4 linked regions of the Arabidopsis thaliana genome follow. The protein of the gene in region 4 interacts with the protein of the main gene of each other region in a pairwise test. Each region holds a gene or a part of one and is shown on either strand. Other genes may lie near its edges. The genes, in order: p24beta2, PRA1.B5, REP and RHA1.

The links.
Region 1: the proteins of RHA1 (region 4) and p24beta2 interact in a protein complementation assay, tested with the Arabidopsis thaliana proteins (one large-scale study listed by BioGRID).
Region 2: the proteins of RHA1 (region 4) and PRA1.B5 interact in a two-hybrid assay, tested with the Arabidopsis thaliana proteins (one large-scale study listed by BioGRID).
Region 3: the proteins of RHA1 (region 4) and REP interact in a two-hybrid assay, tested with the Arabidopsis thaliana proteins (one large-scale study listed by BioGRID).

The regions. Positions count from the first base shown.
Region 1 is NC_003074.8:2,453,221-2,457,441, forward strand, and holds p24beta2 (emp24/gp25L/p24 family/GOLD family protein), read left to right. Parts: upstream 1-2,018; 5' UTR 2,019-2,248; intron 2,249-2,406; coding exon 2,407-2,604; intron 2,605-2,842; coding exon 2,843-3,029; intron 3,030-3,105; coding exon 3,106-3,213; intron 3,214-3,298; coding exon 3,299-3,432; 3' UTR 3,433-3,698; downstream 3,699-4,221. Other genes in the region: AT3G07670 (Rubisco methyltransferase family protein), read left to right, coding at 1-35, 137-217, 400-572, 676-778, 865-996, 1,088-1,210, 1,311-1,397; AT3G07690 (6-phosphogluconate dehydrogenase family protein), read left to right, coding at 4,012-4,221. UniProt on the Arabidopsis thaliana protein: Involved in vesicular protein trafficking. Mainly functions in the early secretory pathway but also in post-Golgi membranes.
Region 2 is NC_003076.8:240,686-244,136, forward strand, and holds PRA1.B5 (prenylated RAB acceptor 1.B5), read right to left. Parts: upstream 1,638-3,451; 5' UTR 1,429-1,637; coding exon 757-1,428; 3' UTR 527-756; downstream 1-526. Other genes in the region: BRCA2B (BRCA2-like B), read right to left, coding at 73-226; AT5G01650 (Tautomerase/MIF superfamily protein), read right to left, coding at 2,382-2,438, 2,563-2,763, 3,238-3,348. UniProt on the Arabidopsis thaliana protein: May be involved in both secretory and endocytic intracellular trafficking in the endosomal/prevacuolar compartments.
Region 3 is NC_003074.8:2,034,397-2,039,768, forward strand, and holds REP (Rab escort protein), read right to left. Parts: upstream 3,396-5,372; 5' UTR 3,267-3,395; coding exon 2,551-3,266; intron 2,431-2,550; coding exon 2,308-2,430; intron 2,193-2,307; coding exon 2,093-2,192; intron 2,008-2,092; coding exon 1,969-2,007; intron 1,885-1,968; coding exon 1,632-1,884; intron 1,531-1,631; coding exon 1,455-1,530; intron 1,349-1,454; coding exon 1,156-1,348; intron 1,072-1,155; coding exon 988-1,071; intron 913-987; coding exon 805-912; 3' UTR 517-804; downstream 1-516. Other genes in the region: AT3G06545 (uncharacterized protein), read left to right, coding at 3,916-4,414, 4,505-4,581; RWA2 (O-acetyltransferase family protein), read right to left, coding at 5,012-5,245, 5,336-5,372. UniProt on the Arabidopsis thaliana protein: Substrate-binding subunit of the Rab geranylgeranyltransferase (GGTase) complex. Binds unprenylated Rab proteins and presents the substrate peptide to the catalytic component composed of the alpha subunit RGTA and the beta subunit RGTB.
Region 4 is NC_003076.8:18,242,647-18,246,976, reverse strand, and holds RHA1 (Ras small GTP-binding family protein), read right to left. Parts: upstream 2,715-4,330; 5' UTR 2,483-2,714; coding exon of another isoform or gene 2,444-2,482; 5' UTR 2,309-2,443; coding exon 2,246-2,308; intron 2,128-2,245; coding exon 2,050-2,127; intron 1,954-2,049; coding exon 1,786-1,953; intron 1,655-1,785; coding exon 1,606-1,654; intron 1,499-1,605; coding exon 1,425-1,498; intron 1,210-1,424; coding exon 1,116-1,209; intron 1,018-1,115; coding exon 917-1,017; 3' UTR 527-916; downstream 1-526. UniProt on the Arabidopsis thaliana protein: Involved in the trafficking of soluble cargo proteins from the prevacuolar compartment to the central vacuole. Involved in vacuolar transport of storage proteins with EREX as effector. Regulates membrane trafficking to protein storage vacuoles (PSVs).

The sequences.
Region 1 (4,221 bases), on a different chromosome or scaffold from region 4:
TTCCATGGGCAGATATGCTTAATCATAATTGTGAGGTACTTCTACTTATCTTTATGACCAATTAGCTCCTAGATTCTCCTAATCAGAAAGCATGATTGACTTATGGTAATCAATATTTCAAAATCTGCTTGGAAAGGTTGAGACGTTCCTGGATTATGATAAATCTTCAAAAGGAGTTGTCTTTACAACAGATCGACCATATCAACCAGGTGAGCAGGTAAATAAGATAAATTCATTCAGATAACCTGAGCGAGCATTGAAGTTTAATATAAGTCAGTGTATAACACAAAGAAGTCCCGTTTACACAGTTTGCCTTTTAGCGCTTCAGTAAGTCAGTCCAAAGTGGAACCAATGTTGTCTGAAGTCTCTGATATGTTTCAGTAACATGACATTGTGCAGGTTTTCATATCCTATGGGAATAAATCTAACGGAGAGCTATTGTTATCTTATGGGTTTGTTCCCAGAGAAGGAACCAATCCTAGTGATTCAGTAGAACTAGCATTATCACTTAGGAAAAACGATAAGTGTTACGAGGAAAAGCTGGATGCTTTAAAGAAACACGGATTATCGACGTATTCCATTCTCCACCATCCATGTTCCCCTCTCAAATTTGTAGATCTCTCTTGATTAACTTGAGTTTTGTTTTGATTGTTTGTGTTAACTTTTCTCTGGCAGACCTCAATGCTTTCCCGTAAGGATAACGGGTTGGCCAATGGAGCTAATGGCATATGCTTATCTTGTGGTGAGCCCTCCAGATATGAGAAACAACTTTGAAGAGGTTTGGCAACTCCATCTTGACCCTTTTTACCATCCAATTCTTCCCAAATTCATAATACATCTCTTATCAATTATTATCCATTTCAGATGGCGAAAGCTGCTTCAAATAAGACATCAACAAAGAATGATCTAAAATATCCTGAAATCGAGGAAGACGCATTGCAGTTCATACTGGACTCATGCGAAACAAGCATATCAAAGTACAGCCGATTTCTAAAGGTAAGTAACAAAACAGCTCATCTCTCTCTCTTTGTGGGAAAATTTTCACTCCATCTGCTTATAGTTTGCTTTGTCAATTATCTAATTGTAGGAAAGTGGATCAATGGATTTGGACATAACATCTCCAAAACAGTTGAACCGAAAAGCGTTTCTGAAACAGCTAGCTGTAGACTTGTCCACTAGTGAGCGCAGGATACTGTACCGTGCTCAATACGTAAGGAACAACTTTCTAGCCAATACGATAGATAAGAGTCTGTGGATCGATCCATGATATTGTGGAATCTGTGTTTTTTTTTTTGTTTTGTTTGGGTCAGATTCTGAGGAGGAGACTGAGAGATATCAGAAGTGGTGAGCTGAAGGCTCTACGGCTCTTCAGTGGACTTAGGAACTTCTTCAAGTGAATGTTGAATGAGGACATTTCAACAGCTTTAAGATGGATCAAAGGTAGGCCTCGTTGTGCTTCAACCAAAAATGTAGTTTTTTATTACAAAAAAATTGAACGTTGGTGTAGGCATGGTTGGATCTGTCTCACTCGTATAGGAATATATTGGTCCAGCCATATATGTAATTTGATCATTTTCTATAAACTCAAAACCTGAACCTAAATTGATTAATTAAGGAAACGCATGAGAGAGTAAGGGTAGAAACATGTTCTTCGTATTTGATCCGAATCGAACTGAAATAATCGATCCAACAAACAAAGATAATTTGAAAATTAAGAATATATCTGACTACAACTCATAACGAAAACCGTACCAAAACTCACACTCCTTGTTACCGCAAACAAGATAATCTGATGGTACACGTCAGAACATTTGTTTCTTTAGCAAAGCAAGTAAACATTCCACTGTGGCAAAGTAAAAAACGAGAAACCTATAAAGTCTTCCTAATGAAACGTACTGATTTTATGGAGTTTCCATTTTCGACATAATATGACGTGGCAATATCTAAATGGTTTAAAGATGTTTTATCTCCAATGATATAACGCCACGTAAGCCCGCTGACCAAATAACCCAAAGAGTAAGCAAGCGACGTCGTTTATAGTTTGATGATCTTGTCGGGTAACGAAACTGCCCCTTGAGTCAAAACAGGCTTCTTCGTGTCCGATTCTGAACGAGCTCGCTCTTTCTCATCCAATTCTCTCCACCGTCTTCTACTCCGATCAATCTTCAAATTTTCTTAACACTCATCGACCAGATCGAGTTTCCATCGATCTAATCAATCAATCATCAGATTTGATCTTCTCAAGAAGGTAAATCCCTCTCACTCTCTGTGTCAAACCTAATCACCTCGTAGGAATCGAAATTGGAACAATTCAATTTGGTTTGGTTTGGAATCTCTAGTCGATTCTTCTTCTAAACGATTGAATTGCGTTTTGTGCTTTGATATAATTCGAAATTATTGTGGCAGATGAGCTTGAAGGGTACGATCGTATTACTAGGGCTCTTATGGAGCTTCCAGGCTACGTTAGGGATTAGATTCGTGATAGACCGTGAAGAATGTTTCTCCCACAAGGCTGAATATGAAGGTGATACGCTTCATGTCTCTTTCGTCGTCATCAAGTCTGACTCTCAATGGCATTTTAACGAGGATGGTGTAGATCTTGTGGTATGACTTTTTTTCTTCTAATTGAACTTTTCTACATTCTACATTGCAAAATCGTCGAAAATCAATAGAATTGGTATTCCTAAACAATGCTTAGGATTTCCATTGTTAATGTTGGTAGATAATTTGAAGTATGTATTGATAAAGAATTTGGTTACTCTTTAAAGCTGTTATATTGTACCATCTGGTTAATTTGGTGGTTGTTGTTGTTGTTGATATATTTTGGATGCATTTTGAATAGATACATGGCCCAACAGGCGAACAAATTCATGACTTCAGGGAGCAGATAAGCGCAAAGCATGATTTTGTTGTCCAAAAAAAAGGGGTTTACAGATTCTGTTTCACAAACAAGTCTCCTTATCATGAAACCATTGACTTCGATGTACAGCTTGGTCACTTTGCATACTACGATCAACACGCAAAGGACGGTAAGGATTATCTGTTTAGTTTTGTTTCAGTTTCGTTTGGTGATGAGGTATTTAGCTGAAGATGGTTTTTGTGCAGAGCATTTCACTCCCTTGATGGAGCAAATATCAAAGTTAGAGGAGGCTCTTTACAACATCCAATTTGAACAACATTGGTTAGAAGCTCAGACCGATCGTCAAGCTATCGGTAACATTTTTTCCTCTAAAAACCACATTTGTTGTTCTCACTTCAATATTGAGTGATGGTTTGAATATGGTTGTTCCTTGTGCAGTGAACGAGAACATGAGCAAAAGAGCAGTACACAAAGCTTTGTTCGAGTCGTTTGCACTGATTGGGGCAAGTTTTCTCCAAGTTTATCTTCTGCGTCGCTTGTTTGAACGCAAACTCGGCATGTCTCGTGTCTAAAAGTATCGAGTTTATTATGACTTTGAACTTATTTTGCCTTAAAATGTACCAGGGAATCTTTACTTAAAACCTTTTTACAGACAGATCGTAGTTCATTGGAAGATTTGCTTTCTCCCATGTTCAAGAACTAATCCTCTCGTGATGATAATTCTTTTTTTTCTCTTTATTAACAGACAACTTTTCCACAAGCTAGGTTTTCATTTCAATAGAGAAAATAGTGATTCCTTAAAACCTTTTTTCCCTAAAACAAAGAGAATAACAATGTGATCAAGCTTTGAATAAGACGTGTCAAAAGTACTCAAAATCCCTTAACTGGATTCGAACTCTTATAGAGAAGGTTATAAAAGTGGACACTAGACTAAGTTAGTTGGGCCCAGAGTAGATAGATAAAGCCAGCTATCATTTTCTTAGTCGTCGTACAAGTTACCTGAAAATAAAATAAAAACACAAACTTTCCTGAAAAAGTCGTCTCCAGTTTTAAGCATTGATAAATCCGACAAGAAGTCCGATTTTGTTCCATAGCTTGCTTGTGTTTTTAGTGGATTGAGTCACTGAAAGAGAAATCATAAGGCTTTGTTGATGATGGATCATTTGGTGGAGACGAATTCAGTTCCGAGCAGATTGGTGGAAGAAAGGCTTGATGAGATTCGTAGAGTAATGGGTAAAGCTGATGACGACCCGTTAAGGATCGTTGGTGTAGGAGCTGGTGCTTGGGGAAGCGTTTTCATTGCAATGTTGCAGGAAAATTACGGTAAGTTTAGGGGCAAAGTTAGTGTGAGAATCTGGAGA
Region 2 (3,451 bases), about 18 Mb from region 4:
TAATAATTCAATCTCCTTTGAGTCACATGACAAACACGATTCGACAAAGAAAAGGAAGATACGAAGAATCACCTTGGAGCAAGAGATCGGCCATGGAAGGTAGAGGAGCTGTCGATTCGAGCGCCTTGGTTGGCGTAGAATCCGAGACGGACTGAAGAATCCGGCCAGCGACTTCCCACCGGAAACCATCGCCGCTGGAATCGGAAAATAAATGCCACGTCGACATTTATTCAGTTCTAGGGTTTCCAAGTTTTCCGATTCGTCGTTATATGATTCAGCCGGAGAACTAAACCTCGCGATTCAGAATTGCCTACCACGCCAAGAGGGAGGAGTCGGGAGTGCGGAATTTTTATTTTTATTGTTTTATTTTCTTTCCCCAAACCAAAATCATCACCAAAAATCCAAAAAGTTAAAAGTTCTGACAAAGGCGGGAAAGTTGAAAAAGATTTGGGCCGAAATTATGAGACGCGTGGTTTTATTTTAACTTTGGGCTTGGTTTTTACGGACATAGCGTTCCAAGACAAGTGTGATATTGCCACGGCCTTTTATTGCGGTAACTAACGGCACGAATGCTAACCCGAAATCGTTCCAAACAATAATTGCTTACGTGGACATTTTAAAACATCTGTTCAATGTGATTGGTGACTGACTTCAATGAAAATTACATTGCAACAATGGTCAAGTATCACAGAAAATTACATTGCAACAATCTCCACCTTCAAATCTCTAAACACGCCAGATTCTGAGAACTATAATTTACACGGGGGAAGCCGCTGAGGAGGCAGAGGGTGCTACAGAGGGGATCGCGGGAACACCGATGAATGAGAGGAATCCGGAGGCGGCATGATCTTGTTCGTCGAGGAAGAGATCATCGGGAGCTCTAAAGGCGCCATGGACACAGATTGTTGCTATTCCGATCATGAGAGCGGATATCAATACAGATCCGACGCTTGTGAAGAAGATCACTGCGATCGTGGAGAGGATTAGGCCACCGAGAGTTTCGTATTCGGAGAAAGATCGGCCGAAGAGGATAAGAGGACGATCTGATGGACGGAAGAGGTAGAGGAAGAGCCAGGAAGCGGCGAGACATAGGAGGAGGATGAGAGAGAATGGGTGGGCGAGAAGAGAGAAACCAAGGATCAGAGCGACAATGCAAACGTAATTCACCCTGAAATAAGAGGAATTTTTCCGGAATCGCGTCCCGGCCTCGGAGAGAGAGTCAGGCTTTGTGAAAGCGGATCGATCGAGGAGCTCTGACCACGGACGGCTACGAGATAGACCACCACAGACCGTCTCGGTCACACCGTTGACAAATGCACGGACGACTGGAGGTTGCGATTCCACCACAGCGGTTACAATCGGAGGCTGATTGGTGGTGTCTGTTGCGGTGGTGGAAATTGGAAGAACAGGGGGATTTGTTGACACCATTCGATTTTGTTCTTTTGGGATTTTGAGATTGGAAAATTTTAGGAGACGAATGATTTAGAGGTTGCTGAAGTTGCGGTAGTGTTATGTATATATAGGATCACAATTACGCGTCTTTCAACTTTGATTATACACCTTGCTTCATCTGATAGCTAATCTATATTCATTTGCTAAAATAAAAATAAAAATAACCTCCTGATATTATAACTCAGGTTATTTTTTTGCTTAACGTAGTTTATACAATAATTCTTGATTACTTAGGCAAAGTGCATTTGACCATTAATGTTCCAGTCACAGGAAGTTTCCCTAATAGAAAATATTTTTAACACAATGTTGATCTGTCATATGGAGTAGTAGACTTGACAATGTCAAATCCTTTTTTCTTTGATAACATTCATCTTCGAATTCTAAACATAATTATATCTAACGAGTAGACAAAGACTAAATAACCATTGTTTACCCTGATAGTAAGTTGTAGCATCATATATAGCATAAATGTTATTTCTTAATGCAACTCCATCAAACCTTAGATATGTTTACAATACGAAGTAGTTCAAAGTTACTTGATCGATGAGAGTAGATCATACATTTCAAGACAATCACACTAATCACCTACCACGGAATTAAAGAGTCGCCCCGTTCCAACCAAAGAAGGATCCCTGCAAGAAGAACCACACGAGAAAAGAAATGTATAATTGATATATCAGGTGGTTATAGGCATAAACACTCCAGATGATGGATGACCCTCTAAGCCAGTTAGACAACGGATTTAGAGAAGTTGAACGAATCTCCTAAATAACTCAACAGTGTGGGTGTAAAGATTGAATTCGAGTAGTGGAACGGTTTATGCATTTGATTTAATTGTTTATAATGCCTAGTTTATGAGTAAAAGTTATAGGTCCGTCTTATGATGATGAACTTACACACATAAGATGTATTTGTTCCCTATTCATGACCTAGTAGTGCTGGTGTAAAGCGTGTAAACATTGTGCATATTCTTGACTTTGATGGTCCTAGAGAGACAACGAACAATGAAAATGAGACATGGACGCATATCGGGCATATGAAATCATTAACACATTTGCATATGTTATGTCACTACATCAAAAAAGTTATCAGAGAGAGGGAATTGCTTGCCTTGGTGTCATAAAACTTGAGGAAGAATCGAGACTTGGGCACCGATAGCTTAGTCTCAAGAATGGCGGAAACAGCAGCGCTTAGCTTCTTGTTCACATCCGCATTAAGGCCACCGATAGAAACTAATTCACCATAAGCTGCAGGATCCTCGGTCCCGCCAAATGACATAGGCACTGAGCCTTTCAAGACAATCATCACATACTGCAAATTACCACAATGAACAATGCAATCAGATAATGATCTAAGAAACAACATTACAGGACAAAAATATTTAAACATCACTAACATAAACAAGCAATCGTCAAAGCAGACCAATATTGTTTTTGAAAACAAACTTCAGCAATGAGAAATTCAAGGGCCAGGAATGGCCTAGAAATCGTGGTAAAATAAAAAAGAAGAACCCCAACGAAGATTGTACAAATAAGTCAAGAGAAGACTCCGGAAATGTGAACCACTAGAATAGAACGGAGCAACGAGATAAAATTGCTTAGGGTTTCTATATCATGCATGTGAAGAAAACAACACTCGAATCGCTGTTATTCAATAAGGAGAAGAAAATGATTAAGAGATAAAGACGCACACAAGGCAAATCTCAGGAGAAAACGAAGAATCGAAACAAAATTCGAACAGAACGAAACGAACTAGAGGTTAAATCGAGAGAGAAAAAGGGATTACGTTCTCAGGCTTGCCGATGATTTTCGCGACGGTGGAGGAAGCTTCCGAGAGAATGGAAGATGTATCGACGCCGTCAAGGTTAACGTTGGTGGAGAGGTTGAGGCACGGCATTTTCTTCTTCTTCTTCGTCTCTATCACTCGACGCCAATTTTTTTTAGTCAAGCGGATAAAGAGAGTAAGACCACCCAGGAATTTTCCCCTTTTATCCTTAAAC
Region 3 (5,372 bases), on a different chromosome or scaffold from region 4:
TTTATGCAAAAATCCCCGAAAAGGAGGGTTATAGTCCACGGATTATAGTCTCACGCGCCGAAACGCGCCTGTGATGCGAGTGGTTTTGTATTTTAAATTCCTACACGCGTGTAGTTCTGTTTTAATCTTTAATTGATAGAATTATTTCGGGTCCAATTCCGACGCTAATTCAGACCCAATGGGCTTTAAATTCTGTCAAGTGTCAACCTTTGGGATTGGATAAACGATTGACGATTCTCTCCAGAGAATAACCAAACCCTCATAATTGGGCCTCATAATGAGAGCTTGGCACCACATTACATATGATAACATTAACCCAACGATCTCGAAAAAAGCATTCAAATTCTTAATCTTGACTTCAAAGTCAAATTTCCTAGTCGATAATGATATCTTCCTTGATTTTTTAAGTTTCTGGACTTGGCCATGAAAATCAGAATTGGAGTCGAAATATACGAAATCGGAAGTGTTTATTCAAAGAGAAACATAGAACGATTATGGTTGTGATCGGTAAAAGATGTCTGAATAAATTAATTTCTATACAAATTCATTATTTCTTTTTAGTCGTTGATTTAAAGTTTGTGGAGTTTCAATGGTTAGACAAGCGGTCGTGGATTAATCACTTCTTCTCAATCCTTTATTTCTTCCCTAATCATAGTTGCTCTCTAGTGAATAAGTAAAGAAAATGGCTCACCCTCCCTCTGCCAATCTTCCTGCTTCCCCTCTAATAACGGGGTAACTATATGTTACAATCAAATAAATAAATGGGTATTCTAAGTCTTTAAAACCAATGGTTTCATTCATCAATCAATCTTCTATTTCAACACCACCATCGTTTTCCTCCTCCGTTGTGTTCTCCGCCGGTGAGGTCTCTTCTTTAAATAATTCTTCACTCCCCATGAGCTTTTCATATAGCTACCAAATCCAATATGATAACATTATCAAAACCATAACTTAATGAGATAACTGCTGTAAGGAGCTTCTACTAACCTTCACGGCTGATTCCACTATCTCATTGTAGTTCAAGTTTCCATCTGGACTAGGCATGGAACTGATCGTACCTCCAAATTCACCCTGATCCAAATCAAACTTTTATTTAGTGAAAATGACATTACCAACGTCGAAATGAAAAGGTAAATTCCCAATCACATTTTCCACCTTGACTAGCTCTTGCACGTACAGTGCTCTCCAGAGTAGAATAGGTTTTGTCTCAGAAGTATCATTCTCAACAACGGAATCGCTTTGACGATTCTCGGGAACAGGCAAACTGATGAGATTACTCATGGCTGATAATAGCGCCTTTATCCCTTGGTCATCATTGTCGCACAAAGTTGAAAGATATAAAACATGCCTGCAGCAGCAAATATATATGGCTTAGAGAACAGTTAAAGCTAAGCAAATGGAAAGAAACAGAACTAAAATGGGAAAAGATCATCTTAGGCTAAACCACAACTTACATGTCAGCAGGACAAACCGCTAAACCACTACCAAGCTGCAGAACCCGAATTGCAGTTAGCTGTTCTGGAAACAAAGCTAAGAGGAAAAAACTATTAATGTTAGAACCTTCAAAACGCAAAAGACGATATACATGTAAGTGAAACAACTAACTAGTGGGTCTTCAAAAATTAGCTTACATTTAGGTGGATAAACGACAAGAGCGTTTGATACATTAGCTTTCACAGAACCTCTAATGACGCATACTCCTCTTGCAATTTTCTCCTTATTGATCATCGACTTTGGGACAAGAACACTGAGAGTTTCATTTTGCTGATCTGTCAATGACGACAGAGACTCTAATCCAACAGTAACACATGGATCCAGAATCAACTTTTGGCTGAATATCTCTTGACCAGAAGCTAATCTAACCCCTTTGTAACCCCCAGTTTCCTGCAAAAAGAGTTTAAAATAATCAAGTAAGAATCCTTTCCGTCAACTAAACTTATCTTATGCTACAACTGTCAGCTAACTTGCCTTGTCTAAAAGCAGAGCAGTAATAGGCATCCGGAGAACCTGTGAAAACAATGAAAGACTAAATAAGTAACAAATACCACAACAGCAACACAGTACACAATGCAGAAAATTGTTCCAAACGTACATAGATACATCCTTTGACAGCAGCCCGACGACAAAAGGCTTGTGGAAGTTCTCCTTGTCCATAAATTGGGTATATCAACGCCCCAAGTGCGTTAGAAAACCTAAGGTAGAGAATCAAAAGCTAAATTATACTCAATATAACCAATGATAATGTAAACCAATAAGAAAGATGATCACAAATGTGTAAGAGCCAGGAATGAGAAAATGATGAATGACCTGCCCATAGATGTGATGTATAGAGCCAATCGATCTATCCCCTCTTTGGTCTTGAGTAAATGTCTACAAGTTTCCGTATTGTCTTGATCATAATCTAGCATCGCAATGGCATACAAGATGATCCTACACAGAAGAAGAGGAAACAAAGCCTTACCTATCAACATTTCAGAGACAAAATTCTAAGAAGCATTAAGCAGAGACAAATGTCCAAAGAGCTGCCATTAACAGAGAAGGAGGTTATACGATTTGATTTTGGGTGGTAAACGCATCTTTGACAAGAAGTCCACAAATGGACTCTCCATATCTTCCTCCGATATCTTGACTGTTGTTGAATCATCTTTTTCGGTAGAAGAAGCCAAGTGACTTTGAACAAGCTTGAAGAATTTCATGAGCTGATTCTTCTCCAACAGAGTCAAGCTCTTGTCCTTGAATATAGCAGCTCTCGAATCCGGCACATTTCGTAGCTCACCGCTCGAATCCCCAACGAAGCTGGCATCGATGCTCTTGAACTCAACGTAGTTGTTAGCTCCTGATTTCAGCATGAGATTAATTGATTCATCGGCACAGAAGACAACCCTAGGACCAGCCAAGTCAACGTTGAATCTTCTAGAGTGTTCTTCGAGGATCTCCGATTCGAAGCTCGAAATCTCCACGGAGGAATACAAGGATCGGTTAACGAGATCCACGGAGATAAAATCATGGTTGTTTGACGGAGGGAGAGGAGGAGATGACGGCGACGGAGGAGGAGAAACGGAGTTTGAGTGAAGGAAAGAAGTGAGATCGGGAAGGGAAAGAGAGGCGAAGTGAGAGCCGTAGAAGGGGTTAGGGTCGAGGTGGAGAACAGAACTACCGGAGGAGGAAGCAGCGGCGGCTAAGACGGACTCAGAGACTCCGGTGCCGACGACAATGAGATCGTAGTTGGAAGGATCAAGCGGCGGGTAAGGAGGGATGTCGATCATGGTGGCTCGAACAGATTTGTGTATCAAAAGTCGAACCAACGTGACTTCAGTAGCTTGATCGATACACGAGCGTTGAATAATCTGGGAAGATGTTGAGATGAGTGAGGAGAATCGAGGAAGAGGTTCAAGAGAAGAAGAAGTTTCTTCTTACATTACATATACAAACGTAATGGGCCTAAGATGTAAATGAATAAAAGAGGTAAGTGTGAATCGGCCCAACATGGCCCATCTTCTTAATCAACGCATAGACTATAGGGTCTACTGTTTTTCTTATGTTAGAAACTTAAAATATGATTTTTTTTTTTATATAAACGGTTTAATTGAAGAAAATAGAGTTTATACTTTCTTCGTTCACTTTACTGGTCAGTGGTCCACTTATAATGTGATTTTTTGAACTATTTTCTTTGTTGAATATAAAAGAATTTTATATATCTTGAAAAAAAAAAGTGTTAGATAAAGATTGCGAAGATTTCTTTTGTTTGTTGTGATTATGAAAATCTTCTAACCACTTTTAACTAATAATAGAGATATACCACATTCTTCTGGATAAAAGCAGATTTAACTAACTAAATAAAAGAAATCGAAAAACGAATTCACGACGACTATTAAATCTCCGAAACCCCATAGTCCTAGTAAAAACACACACACGATGGAGAAGAAGATTAGTGATATGGATGTGTTTGTTTGCAGAGGAATATGGTATATAATGACTCTACTCTCACTTTTTGGCCTCTCCAAATCACTCAATCTTCTCTGGCCACCTGGAGATTCATCGTCTCAGTCCTTTAGGGACGGTGCGGTCAGTGTCACAACATTCTACGCAGTGACGCTACTCAGATATCTTTTTTTCACCGCTCCTCCTTCCGCTTGCTACAAGGAGTTTACTACAAAGTTGGAGAGAGTACCTCAGGTTTTGTTTTCGACATTTTCCGCAAATTTAGCGTTGGCATTGCCCTTAATATATGAGCTATTGACAAACAAAGAGTTTGAATTGTCCATGTCGTTATTCACCATCTCGTTGTTCACCGGAGGGTTAGGGCTGATTCAGCTATCGGATAAGTTTAGGATGGAGATCGGACATGCTTTGTACACGCTCTTCCTCGGTTGGTTATCTTGTCTCTTTAGCATGTCTAACAATCTATACCGGGGTGACTATAAGGTACTGTTATTGTTTTTAATATCAGTACCTCATTTTTTGCTTTCCTTTGGGCCCGCGTATAATTTCTCCAAATGGGAAGACTCGGACACTTTCTCTGCCTACCGAGCAATAGAGGACAAGCTTGACACACATGCTATGACTACACTTTCTATCTAAGTATATCAATGTTTCCTTACATTAAAGTAATGGCTTTTGCAAGTCCATCATATTTTACTTTGATGTAAGATTAATCTGGATTTTATAGCTATACAATTACTCATATGGATTTCCTTTAACTTGTAATAGACAATAATAAGTCTTAACATCATCGTGAACAGAAACACAAATAAACAAGAAAGAACACCTTATTCATAAATAAATATACAGAAAGATGACATTACAGCAACATTGTATGCATCTACCTCTGATTTCTATCTTCGTATATCTACCATATCGCGTAGTTCAACTCCTATGAATTCATTCGAATAGTCCACTCTGGTCCGGTTCAGAAGTGCTTCACACCTGTTTGTTTCCAGTGAAATAATAAAACGTGAGATGGTTCAATCGAATATGAGAGGATGACATTCGTCCTCGCTTTGTGTATGCACTAACATATCAATGAACTCAAGTACCAGGGAAAAAAAAGCTTTCTCCCACACAAAAAGATAAAATTTTGACTTACCAGTTTTTGGGGAATTGTGATAAGAATAAATGAGAAAAAGTAGAGACAAGTGCAGATTATGAGTGCTGAGATCGTGTTGTAGACAAGGCGTTTGTCGTCCTTGGTTGGTATGAAGGCTGTTTTCAAAGTGTTGGTAAGCTCAAAGAGCCTATAAGAGATCTGAAAACAGAGCAACAAAAAGCCAATCAGTTTGTTTGTATCTGTCTGGCTTTCAACTTGTTTCTATCTGTTGTAGCAGGGTTTGCTTACAGCGACGTAAATCGAAGTAGTGAGCATGAAGTTCAAC
Region 4 (4,330 bases):
GTCAATATTTCACAAATACTGAAACAAACAAGTCCAACTAAAGGAAAAGCTTGTTGTACACAACATATAAAACATGTTGCAAATGGGAAACAGGTTTGGAAGACACGTGGGAAGTGGAAGGGATGGGAGTCTCCGATCACCCACAGATCGTTGTGACGTCTTTGAGACGTTGGAAAGTTTCAATTCCGGCCAAAATTTGTTCAATCGGCAGATCTCAATCTTGGCCCAAAGATACAAAGGCGAAATTCATATTTTAGCTTTGACGAGAATATGACTCCACTTTATTCAAATTTGTGAATCTTCTTCTTCAAACAACAGCTTTTCAATCTTCAAGTTGCAGTTCATCAATTGGAAATCGAAAGCTTTGACAAGAATATCATTCCACTTAATTCATAGCCGGACGAAGATGCTATCGAAGTGAGACCAAAGTCATTGGAGAAGAACGCCGGCAAAATCTGAACGGAAAAACTTCTTTCTCTTTGAAAGATGAAAGAAGAGAAGGGAGAGAGAAGCAATGCCACTTTTTTTTTTCAAAGGTGTTTCTTTTATTGATATATACATTCATATTACAGCATTCCAACAATGGAAAAAACATTTTGGAGATTTAAGTAATACAAAAGATAATAAGCCTATAAATCTGAGCATTCACTTAAAACATAAACGAAAGATAAGCACATTTTTTTCGGACTAAGTTTTGTTTTCTAATTACAAAAGAGATATATATATATAAATCTCTCCAAATACAAATATCTTCAGATTTCACAAAGGCAGAATAAGTATCATCATGATATACACTGTTGTTGTTGTCAATGCAAGCAAAGTAAAGTAACAAAGACGAAGAAGAAGCAAACACATGAAAGTCCAGATGTTCTCTACTATGTGACTAACCAAATGAGATCTCTCTTCAGGTACGAATCTAAGCACAACACGATGAACTCACTGCCGTAGCCCCTGGCCCGTTTGGGAGAACCATTCCTGTCGGGTTTTCAGCTGGCTGTACACGTGGTAGCCTTTTCGCTGTAGCGGTTTGAACAAGAGAAACAAAAGTGAAAAAGGGATTTAATTGAAAACAACTAATTGTTGGAAATAGCTTTCTTGATGAAAGAATGACTCACCTATTTCGTAGAATATGTCTTTGACATTTGTTGCGGTCTTCGCTGAGGTTTCCATAAAGAAAAGGCTGTTCTCTTGAGCATATATCTCTGCCTCCTGTAAATAACAATATCAAGAACTACTTAACAACACAACTCAGTAATGAAAAAAACAAGTCGGTAGGTGATGTAATAGAAGATTTCACAGGCACCAGTCGAATCTCATCCCCGAGTGTTAGTTAACATTTTCTCCCGGTACTTTCGAATTTCATCAAGATTTTTGGCATTAGCAAAGCAAAATCAGACAGCAAAAGAAAGAAAGATTTAGTTTACCTCTGCAGACACCTTCCTTGCGTCTAATAAATCAGCTTTGTTTCCAGCAAGAGCCATCACCATATTAGGGTTACCTATTCACATGATCCACATTAACATATAATGATACCAAATAAACCACACCAACTATCAGAAAGTAGGAATCATAAACTAGCTAAAACCAAAGTCAGCTATTCCATACCTTGTGCCTGCAGTTCCTGAACCCATTTCTTCGCCCTCTCAAATGAGGCCTGTGGCAATAGAAAAACAAAAATTAAGCAAACCTAACTTTGCAGAGAGCCTTAAACTGCCACTAAAGTCCACTGATATTCTGTAAGTCAGTGCATTCGTGACTAAAAACACAAGGATCGTGAGTTCGTACTTGATTAGTAATGTCAAAGACAATAATAGCAGCAGCTGCACCCCTGTAGTACATTGGAGCCAAACTGTGGTATCGTTCCTGACCAGCTGTATCCCATATCTCAAACTTCACAGTCGCATCATTCACAGCCAATGTTTGAGAGAAAAAAGCTGCACCAATGGTTGATTCCTACAACAAAACGAGTATCAAAAAGTCAAGAATCAACCACAGGAACGAGAAGAAAACCTCTATCAAGATCACAGGAGGAAAATGCCACCAACCAACCTGAAATTCAACAAACTGATCTTTCACAAACCGTAGCACAAGACTTGATTTTCCAGCTCCAACATCTCCTAGTAATACCTGAAGCGCTTAACCAAGTTAACCACCAAAAACAAAATAAAGGGGGAAAAAAACAGATTTTTCTTCTGACTCGTTAGAACCCTAAAACAAAACTACCAGATCGAATAAAATCTATAACCTTTACTCCAAACCCTAGTTTTATACTGATAAACCATGCGATTTCTAATTCGATCACAATCATCCAATTTCAGATCAGAGAATTTGGTTGAAAATTCCCCAAATTGGAAACAGAACTAACTCATCGAAATCAACGATCTAATCAAAATTGACGATCATCCTTCAAAGGATAAGCAAAATCCAGAAGAATTAAACTGACCAATTTGGCGTTGATGTTCTTGTTTCCAGAGCTAGCCATGATTGACTGATTGATTGATCTGAAACAGTATTTGAAGCTCGAGAAACTTCTGCTAAAATAGAAACAAAATTGAAGATGGAACCACGCGTTGACAATCGTAAGACGGAGAAGAGAGACCGAAGAAGCTTCCGTCAACAAACAACCAAATTTCTCTCTTTGTATCTCTCTCTCTCTCTCTCTTGAAGACGAAAGCAAAAAAACAGAGAAGAAAGAAACAACTTTTTTATACGGCTCGTGAATATGACAAGAGGAGACTTATAACTAAAAAAACCACAAGATTATCGAAATTACGATAAATCCCTATATTTGTCTAAAATACTAAAAACGCCCCAAAAACAAAAATATGTTACACGCTGACCTTCATATATTGTAGACGATGTCTCTTAATAATAAAGTCGATAATTGTGTATAGTTTCGTTAGTATTTCATAGATTCTTTGTAAACCATGGTTAGTCTCCCTTTTTTCAACAAAATCCAAAAATTTTGGTGGTAGTGATGGGACAAAATGTACAACCATGTTCATTTCATAGTTAGCAATAACAACGAATAATAGCGATTACTATAAACTATAATGATTAAAAATAACGACTAAAACATGTTTTGTAATCTTTAGTCACAAGTTGTTAGTTATGTAGTCCTTGGTTCAAAAAAAATAACATTTTAAATTATGGATTAGTAGTAGTCAATTATTACTTATGATATTTGTCTTTATTAATAACAAATGAAATAAACACAAATATTGTCAATACAATAGAAGCATTGTGGCGAGTGTTTAGCCAAATCCTCAATAGTAGGTTGTTGTCTCACGCGTCAAAACTGGCCGTGTGATTTAATTTTGTCGGTCATGAAGTCGTATTGGACGGTTTAAGACGAGACTGTTTTACATGTTTTGGTACCTAACTCGAAGATACTATGAATCAAATTTCTTTGGTAGTCAAAAAGAAAAAAAACTTTCTGTGTAGTCGAACAAAATATCGCTATCTACACAAATGCTGAAATGCACGTTTTTCCATATGGGTTATGGGCTTTCATCAGTGGAGCCAATTATTTAGAATTGAAGACGAGAAATTAATTTTAACTTGTTTATTTTGAAGAACAAAATTGGATGACAAAACATTATGGATGTTCAGAATAGCTATAAGATGTTATTGCTAAGTACCATTTTTGAAGGATAGCTATAACATGTTAGTAAAAAAAACTTGTCTATAACTTATAATTATAGTGAAATGACGGAATAACTGAATAATTATTAGTGGAATGAATTGAACTGAATAAATTAGTTTAATGGATGAAAATATAGTTCTAGTGGATTAATCATGTTTTTTTCTAGGTATATTGACATGCTAGTAGCCTAGTAGTATACAGCCGAATTACTTTTCGAAAACGTGAAATCGAAAAAAATTTGATAAATATTTTGAATGTAAAAAAATAGCGTTTGAAAACGTGACTAAGCGATATACCATTCATCCTTATAGTAATTTTTTGCTTAGGGAGTTTTTTTTTAGAGGAATGTTCATTCTATTACATTTAACGTAAATGGTAAACTTTTGTCAAAATATTACAAATGTTTCATCCAATCATAATCTATCCATCTAGGCTCTAAATACACATCTATTTTCACGGGAACATCAAAAACGTTACACATGTATACTGTGTGTGTATGCATTAATTTGTGGTGTATAAACAAAGAAATTTTAACAGATCATGTTGTTTTGTCCCTTTGCACAACTGAAAGTCTAATACACCTCGTATTCCACGACGATTTGTTCCCAAGTTCCATCTTCCAACTCATTCTCTCTATATATAGTAAAGTCTCCACCTCAGGAATAATCATTAATCCAAAAGAAG